Linked DNA regions of Mus musculus. The protein of the gene in region 1 purifies or fractionates together with the protein of each later gene. This does not show direct contact. Links are inferred from orthologs where the notes say so. Each region holds a gene or a part of one and is shown in the gene's direction. Other genes may lie near its edges.

The links. The genes of interacting proteins can lie anywhere in the genome.
Region 2: the proteins of Cul4a (region 1) and Wdr76 purify together in Homo sapiens (affinity purification with western blotting; 3 studies listed by BioGRID). This does not show direct contact. The link is inferred for Mus musculus from reciprocal best matches to the Homo sapiens genes CUL4A and WDR76.

Annotation. Positions count from the first base shown.
Region 1 is NC_000074.6:13,102,971-13,110,176, forward strand, and holds the start of Cul4a (cullin-4A), read left to right. Parts: upstream 1-2,652; 5' UTR 2,653-2,785; coding exon 2,786-2,933; intron 2,934-3,223; coding exon 3,224-3,339; intron 3,340-7,206. Other genes in the region: Pcid2 (PCI domain-containing protein 2), read right to left, coding at 1,805-1,840. UniProt on the Homo sapiens protein: Core component of multiple cullin-RING-based E3 ubiquitin-protein ligase complexes which mediate the ubiquitination of target proteins. As a scaffold protein may contribute to catalysis through positioning of the substrate and the ubiquitin-conjugating enzyme.
Region 2 is NC_000068.7:121,508,184-121,513,222, forward strand, and holds part of Wdr76 (WD repeat-containing protein 76), read left to right. Parts: intron 1-293; exon of another isoform or gene 294-1,689; coding exon of another isoform or gene 1,690-1,752; intron 1,753-2,355; coding exon of another isoform or gene 2,356-2,586; coding exon 2,587-2,742; intron 2,743-5,039. UniProt on the Homo sapiens protein: Specifically binds 5-hydroxymethylcytosine (5hmC), suggesting that it acts as a specific reader of 5hmC.

The DNA of each region.
Region 1 (7,206 bases):
TTACCATTGGACTGAGCACAGGATCTCCAACGAAGAAGCTAGAGAAAGGACCTAAGGAGCTGAAGGGGTCTGCAGCCCCATAGGAGGAACAACAATATGAACTAACCAGCAACCCCAGAGCTCCCAGGGACTAAACCACCAAAGAAAACACATGGTGGGACTCATGGCTCCAGCTGCATATGTAGCAGAGGATGGCCTAGTCAGTTATCAATGGGAGGAGAGGCCCTTGGTCCTGTGAAGGCTCTATGGCCCAGTGTAGGGGAAGGCCAGGGCCAGGAAGCCAGTGTGGGTGGGTTGGTGAGCAGGGGGAGAGGGAAAGGGGATGGGAATTTTCAGAAGGGAAACCAGGAAAGAGGACAACATTTGGAATGTAAATAAAGCAAATATCTACTGAAAAACAAAAAAACAAAAAATGTGCAAAACATTGGAAAATTAAAAGTTACATGCATCAGTGTCAAAGTTCTCAGGCTACTAAATGCATTGTGGTTACAGTGAATGTCCTTGTTCTTAGGGCTACGATGTCTGTGATGTTCTTTGGCTGTGGGTTCTGAATTAGAGGTAATTTATTACTGTTAACCTTAGGAAATGGAGTAAAGTTTCCTTCTAGTTTGACCTTGAAGAAAAGTGGACCTCACTCCTTGCTGTAAGGAGTAGACTCCTCAAGCTCCACGTTTCTCTCTTTGAAACATATGCAGGCTCCCCTTGCAGGCCATCAAAACATCACTATGGACTTGGGATAACCCGGAAGCAGCACAAGCATGCTGATGCCATGCCATTCCCTGTGACAGGAAAGAAAGACCTTTATTCCTGGCTCAAGCAGTCACAAGAGTAACAGGCTACTCTTAACCTTATTAACACCGGTAAGGATGGCAAAATTCAACCAACCTGACCCCAACAGCTTCTGGGAAATCAGCACAGGAATCATGGGGAAAGAGAGACAAGCAATTTGTTAACAGGTAGCCACTGGCCAAGGCTATTGCCAGTGTGTTGAAATAAAGACTGGTCTTTTGGCCAACAATGAGATCACTAAGGTTCAAGCGTGATCTCCAGAATTAGCATCTTGCTAAGTGTTAAACATGTGCACTGTAGAGCCAGTCTCTGATGCTTCTGAGCTGGGAAGACTTGGGTTAGCCGCCTACGGAGCTCTTCAAGGAGGGCCTTGTGATGGAATCAAAGAGAATACATATGCACACGCAGCACCGACAATAGTGCCGCTACTTAAGAAGCACACAAGTACTGCTTCTAGTACTGTAGTACCCAAAACTGAGCTGTTTGGGACAGGAAAAGGGGGCTTTGGTAATAGAGCTAAGCGCAAATCCAAGGTTCATAAGCAGCCATGAGCAGCAAGTGTAGTCAGTTAAAACGTTCATCAGTCTTCCCTATCTGGCTGCCCCTTGCACCAGGTGTGTTGCCTAGTGGGATTCACATCTTCAACACCCTAGAAGACGCAATCACGGCCCTCCACCCGGATGCAACAGTGTTTGCCTGTGCCACTCCCAGGCTTTAAGTAAAGCCTTGATGGGCACCGCTGCCAAGAGACACAACGTGCTTCGTGCGGACAGCAGCGCTGACTACACAGACAACCGTTTCTACAAGTGGCCCCGATCTTGCTACCTCCACCTCGGATCCTCCTCCTCCTGGTCCACCGGGCAGCACCTGCAACTTCCGAACAAGGCAGGCTGCCCACCGCGTGCAGCACACCCTCCTCGCCTCGAGGCCAGCCGCAGGACCCCCGGCACCGTCCGACCCGGCCCCAGGACTCACCCCTCGTGGCCCGTAGGCCAGGATACCAAGCGAAACCCACCTGCTGTAGGTACTGGTTAATGGTGATGTGCGCCATAGCGGCGGCCGCGGGTGTTGAGTGCCTCACTTCCGGCGCAGGTCCGTTTCCGCTCCTTGTCCCCACACGGTAACCTCTGCACGTTGGTTCCGGAGCGGGTGAAGGTGGAGCGAGCCGAGCCGAGCCGAGCCGAGCCGGTGGTGAGAGCACTTCTTTGGGGGCAGCTGTCAGCGCGGTCGCCGGGACGCCTCGGGTGCGGCGGGGGCGCGCGCGAGGGCGGAGGACTGACGTGGAGGAGTTCCCAACCGACTTGGGAACGTGTCCCTGGTCACGTCGGTGTGCTAGCGACCCGATTCCTCGCACCCCTCTCCCATGAGGGTGACCCGATCCCCAACCCTCCGTGTGCAGAGGCGCTCCTGACTCTCCCGGAACCAAAGTCCAGAGCCCACTGGGAAGGCGTCCCGCGCACTCCTAGGATGTGTTCCTGAGTCCTCCCACATCTCACACTGGGGCACCCCAGATAAATGGGTGCAGAGCATCCCGTCCCCAACCCCTCGGCGCGCTAGCGCACGGAGCAGCATCCCTGAGCATCCTAGGTGTAAGGTGATCCAGGAGGCAAGGTTGCCGGGTGCTTTTATCCACTCAAGTCCTCGCCGGGGTGTCCTCGTCACGGCCCTCGACGTGACGTGGGGCGGCGAGCTCCGGAGCCCTCGGTGCAGGTGTCACGGCGCCCTCTCGCGAGCATTCGTTGTAGAACGCCTGCGAGTCCCCGAGCCCTCCTTGGGCGGAGTTCGCGCATAGGAGGAGGAGCCGGATCGTTCCGGTGCGCGCCGCGGCGGTTGGGCCTCGGGCGCGCGGACCCGGCCGCGAGCAGAAAGAGGAGGAGCCGAGCGCTCACGGGCGGAGCCCGACAGCAGCAGGAGGAGGAGCCGGGCGCGCACGGAGCGGGCGCAGGGCAGGAGGAGGAGCCGGGCGGCGCGGGGCGGGGCGGCGTCCGGCCCAGCCATGGCGGACGAGGGCCCTCGGAAGGGCAGCGTCTCGGCTCTCATGGGCCGCACCAACGGCCTCACCAAGCCCGCGGCGTTGGCCGGTGGCCCCGCCAAGCCGGGGGGCACGGGAGGCTCCAGGAAGCTGGTCATCAAGAACTTCCGAGGTGGGTGCGCTCCGGTGAGGAGCGAACGGGGCGGCCGGCGGGTCGCGCGCTCGGACAGGGCCTCCTGGGGCTGCCCGGCAGGCCCTGTCCCCGCGCCCCGGCCCGCCTGGTTCCCGCACTGTCCCGTCTCGGCGCCGCAACCCGACTTGTCCCTGCACCTCACGCTCCGCCACGTCCCCGCGCCCCAGCTGGCCCCGATCCCGCACCTCCTGGCTAGCCCGGCCGGGCCCTGCCTCGGTGCCCCGGCCTGTGCTGTCCCCGCGCGGCCGTTGACCCTCTCTCCCCCACAGACAGGCCGCGGCTGCCTGACAACTACACTCAGGACACGTGGCGGAAGCTTCACGAAGCGGTCAAGGCCATCCAGAGCAGCACATCCATCAGGTACAACCTGGAGGAGCTGTACCAGGTGAGCGGCGGCGAGGGCCTGCGAGCACCTGGCTGGGTTCCTCCTCCAGCAGCCACCGGGGCCAACGCTAGGGAGGCCCGCCCGTCCGCCCGCCCGCCCGGGGAGAAGCTGCGGCCCGAGCCTTCCCTAGCGGAAGCCGCGAAACCCTGGGTCAGCAGGTGTTTCTATGGATCGCCGCCCTGGATTAGTGCTGTGTGTTGAGGCTTAGACCAGGCTGCTTAGGAGGTGTACGTTTTCCCAGCGCCAGAAGAAAGGAGGTGTTTGGAGCTAAGAGGCACAGAGCCCCCAGCAGTCTTCAGTGTTATCAGAGTGCCAGTGTGTTATACATGGAACTCAGTACGGCCCCACTTGCTAGTAGGGTCCCTGGGTTGTGACACACACACCCCCTCCCCAACACACACACACTGTTTTGTAGTTTAATTATTGCAAATAAGGTTGCAGACAGATTCTGGTAGGGTTTTTGTTTTGTTTTGTTTTGTTTTTTTTTGAGACAGGGTTTCTCTGTGTTGCTCTGGCTGTCCTGGAACTCACTCTGTAGACCAGGCTGGCCTTGAACTCAGAACTCCACCTGCCTCTGCCTCCCGAGTGCTGGGATTAAAGGTGTGCGCCACCACGCCCGGCGATTCTGGTAGTTTTAACTTAAAGACAAGTTGTGTCTGCAACAGGGGGGGAAAATCATCCGAAGTACATTTTGCTGTTTCAAGCACACTTTTCTGTCATGGTTTTATACAATAACTGCTAAATATTCTGTGTTTTAGTTTGTGATAGAACAAATAATTACTTATATGTTACTTAAAAGTTACCTAAGAGGCTTGTTTTATCCTGGTTACAAACTGAGTGTATTGTAAGTTACAGAAAGCACAAGAAGAAAAGTAAGCAGTGGTACCCGAAGGAACCTGTGGCAGGCCCATCACTCCCAACCCCAAACTCCCAAATCCAAAACTTGTAGTGCACTCATGAAAAAAAGACCCACACCTGACTTCCTCTGCTGGGCCTCAGACAGAACACAGTATATGCTAAAACTGTTGAATAAAATGACCATCGAGCTAGGGCCAGCCAGATGACCCAGTAGGTAAAGCGCTGGCAGAGCCAGCTTGACAACTTGTGTTCGAACCTCAGAACCCTCAAAAAGGTGGAAGGAGAAAACTGACTGGAGACGCATCCCCAGACCTCCAGCCTCTTGACGTGACACAAGCACCCACACATACACTTGGTGTACACACACAATGATAAAACAAGGGATATGGGGTACGAGTCAGCTTTGTGTCTGTTTACACTTGATTCTCAGTACCCAGATACATCATTGTGTATGTGCAAGTATTAATCCGGAAGAAAAACATCTGAAATCCACAACACTAGTAGCCCCAAGCATTCTGGGTAAGGGACCACTGGCCGATGGTGACGGATTGGTGTATATGTGTCTGTTCTTTGTCTTAAGTTTGTGAGTTGATTGTGTATTGAAGGAGAGGATTTTATTTAAGGTTTTGTTTTTGTTTTGTTTAGACAGGGCTCACTGTGTAGCCTTGGCTATTCTAGAACTCACTGTGAACAGTCTGACTTACAGAGATCTTCCTGCCTCTGTCTCTTGGTGCTGGAATTAACATTATGCACTACTACACCCGCCTAAAGATTTGCTTTTATTTTTATTATTTTAAGTATGTGCCTATGTGTAGGTGTGCATATGAATACAGTGTTGGGGGCATGTGACATGTGCTCCAGTAGGTTTATTTTGTTTATTTTATTTTTTTATGAGAAGAGAGAGTCGGTTGGTTTTATTTTTTACGAGATTCACTGTGGGGCTGGAGAGATGGCTCAGCAGTTAAGAATGCTCTTACAGAGGTCCTGAGTTCAATTCCCAGCAACTACATGGTGACTCACAACCATCTGTCATGGGATCTGATGCCTCCTTCTGGTATGTGTGAAGACTGGGACAGTGTACCTTATAACTATGGGGAAAAAAAAAGGTCTCACTGGGTATTAGTCCCGGCTGCCGCTCATGTGCCGGGGCTATAGGTTAACTCTAACATACTTGTCCCAGTAGATTTTAATGGCCTAAGATAGAGTTGTTTGCCAGCCGCTCAGTGAAAATGTAGACTGTTTCCCTCCCCGGTAACGAAGGGCTGCCCCGTGAACTCATCCCCTCCCGTTCCCCAGCTGTGGCAGCTGCTGCCGTGTTCTCTCTACTCCTCCACCTCTATCTAGAAGGAGCAGCGCATTTGCAGTCCTCTGGCATCTGGCTCTTATCTAGAATGGCGTTTGCCATTTCCTCTGGTGCTAACAGTTTGGCATTTTGGTTTGTTTGTTTTTGTTTATTAATGTGTTTAGTATTTGAAATAGAATTCCTTCCATCCCTGTCCTCCTCCTTTCCTCTCTCCATGGCCCCTGGACACCCTCTTTGAAATCCCTCCTTTGTGCCCCCAAGTGCATATTACTTTTATTAACAAGTAGAGTGTCTATAGTGCAGTTGGCTTATTCATCAGGTAGTGGCCGTTTGGGTGTCCAGTGGGAACATGACCAGCAGGGCCGCTATGAACGTTGCATACATCATGTGTGGGAATGTGTTTTCATTCTTCTCAGGAAAGTATCTCAGATACAGAAAATGTGTGCTTCCTTTCATAAGAAGCTGCAGCTCTTCCAAGTGACTCCATTTTCCCCACTGCGGTAGCTTGAGGGTCCTTTACTCCACATTCTCACCAGCATTTGGTGCCGTCGAGTTTTACAAACGGGTTTAATTTACCGTCCCTGTTGACGGCAGGTGTCTGTCTGTTTGTGTGCCTGTTGCTCTTCTATACTTTTGATGCAGTTTGCTGCTCAGATCTGCTGGCTCCCTGCCTCCTCCTGCCATCCCCTCTCCCTGCTTCCCTCTTATCTCACTGTGTAGCTTGCTCTGCCTGCAAACTTGGAGTCCTCCTGTGCCAACCTCCCAAGTGCTGGGATTACAGATATGGGCCAGGGTGCTCAGCTTCATCTGCTTAGATTATTTTCCCGTTATTGAATGTGTGAGTTTAGTATGTATTCCGGATATAAGTTCTATATAGGTGTTGCTAGTATTTTCTTCTAGCCCATAGCTTATCCCTTAACTAATCTATGTCCTTTGAAGAACAGTGATTTAAATTTTGAAGTTAAGTGTCTTATCAGCTGTTCTTTTAGGTTATGTTTTTAGTATCCCCCTAAAAAATAAAAACTAAACTTTTGCCATAACTGGTAGTAATAGCACACTTATGTAACCCCAGCACTCAGCAGGCAGAGAAGAGTTCAAGGCCAGCCTCCTCTACTAGCCAGCTCAAGGCCAGCTACATGAAACCCTGTCTCAAAAACAACAAAGCAACAGATCTTTGTCCTAATCTAAGACCTTGTATTTAGACAGAGCTGACAGTTTTACATTTAGATCTGTGATCTATGTTGTGTGGACATCTGTGTGTATGGTGAGATATAAATCTAGATACAGTGTTTTTCCCATAAGTGTCCAGGTGTTGGGCACATTGCCCAACTGCCTTTCTCCGACAAGACCAGTTGTCTGTCTAGGAGGGGTAGCCTCCAGCTTTTTCCCACATTTGTCTGAGCTATTCTTGGTCTTTTGCATTTCTTTATGAATCTGAAAAACTGATTTCTGGCTTTCTCAAGGAACCAGCTTGGGTTAGAGTTATGGTGACTCTTAGATCACCTAGAGAGAACTGACTCGGCCTTAGAGATAGAAGGCTCACTGTTGGGGCTAATATTTCTCAGCAGTGATTTCTTGTTTCATTTGTAAAGATGTTACAAACCTTTTATGGAATTTTCACCTTACCTTGAATTCTGACTTGTGATTCTTGCTTTTACTTAAAATTACCATTAATTTTGTATATTGAAATTGTCCTTCTAATTTGC
Region 2 (5,039 bases), on another chromosome or scaffold:
TTTATTTAGAAGCAGGTGGACAGGTAGTCATGTGCAACTTAAACCAGCTTTTTCAGCACTTAGAACCCAAGCAACATGAACTGCTTACTTTCCTTTCTCTCTCTCTCTCTCTCTCTCTCTTTTCCTTTCTTTTCTTTTCTTCCCTTCTTAGATTTATTTATGTTATTTATACAAATACACTGTAGCTGTCACACATACCAGAAGAGGGCATCGGATCCCATTACAGATGGTTGTGAGCCACCATGTAGTTGCTGGGACTTGAACTCAGGACCTTTTGAAGAGCAGTCAGTGCTCTTAACCACTGAGCCATCTCTCCAGCGCCCTCCTTCTTTTCTTTCAGTGCTCCCTTTCTCTTGGCGACTGGAGTTCATGTACTACAGGTTTCCCTTGATTTACCTATATAGCTGATGATGAAGACTGAATTTCTAGCCCACCTGCCTCCACCTCCCAAGTCTGGGGTGACAGGCAGGCGGGATTCACCGTGCTTAGCTGTTCCCTTTATTATGATTGAAAACTGTATAGCAGTGGTGAGGCGTAATTTTCTCATAGTTGTATTGCAAGAAAGTGGGCAGAAGTAACGGCTGAATGTTTCTTGTTGGTGTGCACTCGGGGTGAGTGCACACCTCGGTGGTGGTGGTGGTGGTGGGAGTTCATTTGTGTACATACATGCACATAGAGGTTCAGAGGGCAATCTTGAATGTCCTTCCTCAGGAGCTATCTAACTTTTAAAAATTCTTATTGATATTGTTATTGAGGTGCTCTGGTGCACATATGAAGATCAGAGGACAACAATGAGAAATGGAGAAATGGCCCTTATGGAGGCTCTGGGAGTAAGATAAAGATGCTAGGCTTGGGTGGCAAGCATCCTAACCTGTGCATCATCTCCCTTGTGTTTGAGACAGCGTCTGTTGGACCTGGGCTCTGTGTTCAGGTTAGTCAGTTTGGCCATGGAGCTGCAGAAGTCCACTTGTCTTGCATCACCTGTGCTTGAATTTGGGTGCTGGGAATCAAACACAGGTCCTAATGCCAGCACCTGTGTTATTTCTTTCAAGTTCTGCCTATTGACTTTTATGCTTATTTTTCTTCCAATCCTTATGATATTTATGAGGATATGGATCTTTTCCAGAGGTCATGCTGCAAAACAGCAGTATTTTTAAAAGCAAGATCTCGAGGTGTACAAGGCTCAATATTACAGGATCCAGTGTAAGTGCTGATTTAGATCCTGCACCCCCTCATTCCGGAAGCAGAGCAGTAGGATTACGGGGCTAGCTAGGGTGACATAGAGAGATGTAGCTGGGTTTAAACAAAACAAAACACAGCCGGGTAGATGGCTCACTAGGTAGGTAAGAGCTGTAGCCGCGCAAATTTGAAGCTTGAGATCAAATTCTCAGCACCGGTAAAAGCCCCGGCATTGAGGGGATGGACACAGGCGCATCCTTGGAGCTGGCTTGTGAGCCAGTCCTGCCCGAAAGGTGACCTGCAGGTTCAGACCTAGAAGGTGCAGAGGGGTGAGCTATCCAGAACACAAAACAAAACAGGCGCCAGAAGCCTTAATGGCCCAGGGAATCCACACAGCTCTTCCGTGCTGACCGCGGAGGCTCCTCCCTCGGGCCCGCCCACATCCCTCGGGCCCCGCCCAATCTCGCCTTGGTCGCAGCGGGAAGAGCTCAGCAGCTGAGTGGCAGAAATATGTCTGGGTCCAAGGCTGAATCTGAGGAAAAGGCAGGCTCCAAACAGTGTCCCCTTGTGCAGGTGAGACCTGATTCGGCCCGGGAGGGATCTGCTAGTCACTGTCACCTGGCGCCAAGGAAAAGCTGTGATTTCTGCTTTTTTTTTTTTTTTTTCAAATTTAAACAGACTATTAGGTACTTAAATTTTGAGGAAAATTTACTAACAACTCCAGGAATTATGGTAGGTTTGCCTTTAATCCCGTAACTCACAAGGCAGAAACAGGTGGAAATCTGTTAGAGGCCACCATGTCACTGGTCTACATTGTGAGTTCTAGGCCAACCCCAAGACTGTAGTGTAGGATTGTAGGACTTGGGGCCCTTTCTCCTGGCTCCCCTGCAGTTGTTTTGAAGAGTTAGTGTGAGCTTTAAGCAATTACAACTAACCTGAATCTGACCTTTGTTGTAATCACCTCACACTGAAATTTGCCTTCAGAATTTCTGGTCAGGTTAGAGATTTTTGTATCCAAATTTTGGAGGAGCAAAAAATTTCCTAACAAGCCATCAATTTGAATCATGTGACTGTGGAATAGGAGTTAGACTTGTTTAAGCAGATTTGTTTCATGCTTTGCTATGGAAGAGCATAGTCCGGCGTTCCTAATACTCTTTTCCTTTATTTCCCGAATAGGTGAATGAATATAAAGAAAATGAACATATTGCTTATACTTCTCTGAGACCGATACAGATTACAACTTTAAGGAAAACAGCTAAGGTTTATCTTTACCCGTTTTCACTCAGCAATTCCAAGCTAGGCCTACTTAAGTTGTCCAAATCCCCGGTTGTAAATAATTCTAGCAAATCAGTGGTCCATAAGAAGAAAGATCGGAAGAAGACTCGTAGAAAGGTTTTAACTTCAAAAATGAAGGCCTTATCTTCCAAGGCAGATTCCCTTCTGCTGAAATCATCCGTGGATGCTTATACTGAAAGTACCAGGCTGGGACCCAAGAGGACCTCGGATTCAGCGACTCTCAGTGTGGACGCGGAAAGCAGCGACGAAGACAGTGCACCAGGCCTGGTGAGCCTTCATTAGCTGTTCTACTTCTCATTTTGAAACTAGAAGCTCTGAAAGCTAAGGTAGTGAAGGACCTCCAGCAAAATCTGTTTTATCATCTAATATAAACAGAAAAGACTTTGTGTATCCGTGTGCTTGCGTGTGTCCAAACAGCAGTGCGAATGCATGTATGTGCCTGACACAGGGGTGGGTGGAGGTTATAGCAATCAGAATCAGGTTCTCAGGGATGACAGCAGGCCCCTTTCTGTTAAAATCACTTATTCACCTGATGTAATTGTCCTCTCAGAGACTTACTACCTCCATCTGCTAACCTAGGCCTACACCTGGAAGCTTCCGGTCTCCTTACCATCTAGTCTAGGCCTAGAAAGTTCTTAGCCTGTCAGACTTACTGCTGTAAAAGCTCACCCTTTCTAGTTCTTTCTGAACTTTTCTGGCTCAAACTCTGCTCCCAGCTGACTGCTTCAGTCTGGCTTCTTTCTCAGCCTCTGACTGAAATGTTCTGCTTGGCCTCATTCTAACTTGGCAGTATGCCGTAATCGTCTGGCTCCTTCTCATTCTGTCTTCACCTGAGTCTAGCTTGTTCTCTTCTGCAGCCTGTGTCTCTATGACGGTGTCTGTCGGTAAAGCTGCCTGTTCTCTCTCTGCCCTGCCCCTTGAGTAGGTTCGCCTTCCTTTCTGTTTGCTTGAGAGTTGGGCATATCCTGTTCAGTCAGATCTTTCTCTGATTTGTCACTTTGTCTGCCACTCAATCAGATACCACTTTCAAACTGGGTGCTTCCTTCTAGAAACGGAACTATTTCTTCACTGTCTGGGTTTAAATAAAGGTGTGTGCTTAGGACAGGTCTGCATTCCAACGCGTGTAGCCATGTTGGCTACTGGATTACAATCCCTCTACACCTTTACCTGTTGATTCATCTTGTAAACCTTTTAATTTAGTCTAAATTTACTTTATATTTAATATTATCTTTAACATTTCTTCATGTTGTTCTTCAAAACAGGGTCTCCCTGTGTAGCCCTGGTTGTCCTGCTTGTCTACTCTGTAGACCACACTAGCCTTGAACTCACAGAGATCTCTGTGCCTCTTCATGCCTAATGGTAGGATTAAGATGCTGACCACCATAGCCCACCTTCTATAATATCTTACAGCACTGATGCTATTGGTCTGAAACTGTACATTGAGAACTGTTGGATTAGATTATGTCTTAAGCCAAGACTGTTGGCTGTATGAGCTGATTTTTGTTTGCATATAATAAATAGAAATTACAACTGTATAGATGTTTAAGTGGTGTTATCCCTAAAATAATATATATATATATATATATATATATATATATATATAAACATTGCAGCATTTATTTATCTTTCTGTGGTGCTAGGGCCTCACACATGCTAGAGAAGCACTGTTCTAAGGAGACAGATTTCCAGCCACCTTTTCATGTTCTATTTTGAAACAGGGTCTTACTTTGTTGGCTAGGTTGGCCATGGGACTTTTGATCCTTTTGTGTCATCCTCATTATCTGGGATTGTAGCCCTGTACTCCGGGGTCTGGCTAAGATAACTTAATCAGATGGTTCATTAGTTTGTTCTCTTTACATCATCATTACTGTTTTTTATTGTGGTGCTTGGTATGATTTCACAGACGCATAGGCTGGCCTAGAACTCATCTGTCGGCCCAGGCTCTTGGCAGTTCTCCTGCTTCAGCTTCCAAGTGCTTGGAATTACAGAAATACCAAACCTGACATTCCCGCTTTTCATTATTTTGTAGAATCACCTAGAAATGTATTTTAATAAGTTATAAAGTAAATCCCCCTCTTGTTTCAAGAGCCCCAGTGTGTTCCTGAGATGGTGTCAGGCCTTGGGTGTGCTGTTGGAGGTTGTCTTTCTTGCAATTCATTTTTTGTTCATCTGAGATTTCAGTTTGTAGCTCTTCTATAAGAAGGTGTCTTAGACGAACAGCAAAATATTTTGTGAGAACCTGGGGGTAGTAGCATATAGTTGTAACCACAACATTACAGGGGTGTGACACAGGAGGAATGAGAAGCTAGCCTGGGATAAAGACAGAGTTTTCTTCTTATACTGCCTCCTCCAAGGGATGGTATTTTGTGAGAACCAGGCATAGAAACTTATTTTAAAATGTCTTCTCATTTATATGTGTGAGGATCCCAGAAGAGGGCGTGGAATCTCCTGGAGTTGGAGTTACCAGCAGCTATGAGATAGTCCCAGCTGGCCTTGTTAGTTATGTAGATAGTCACAGCCCCTCTGCAGCCACTCCTTGTCACTTGCGGAATGAAACCTTGTCC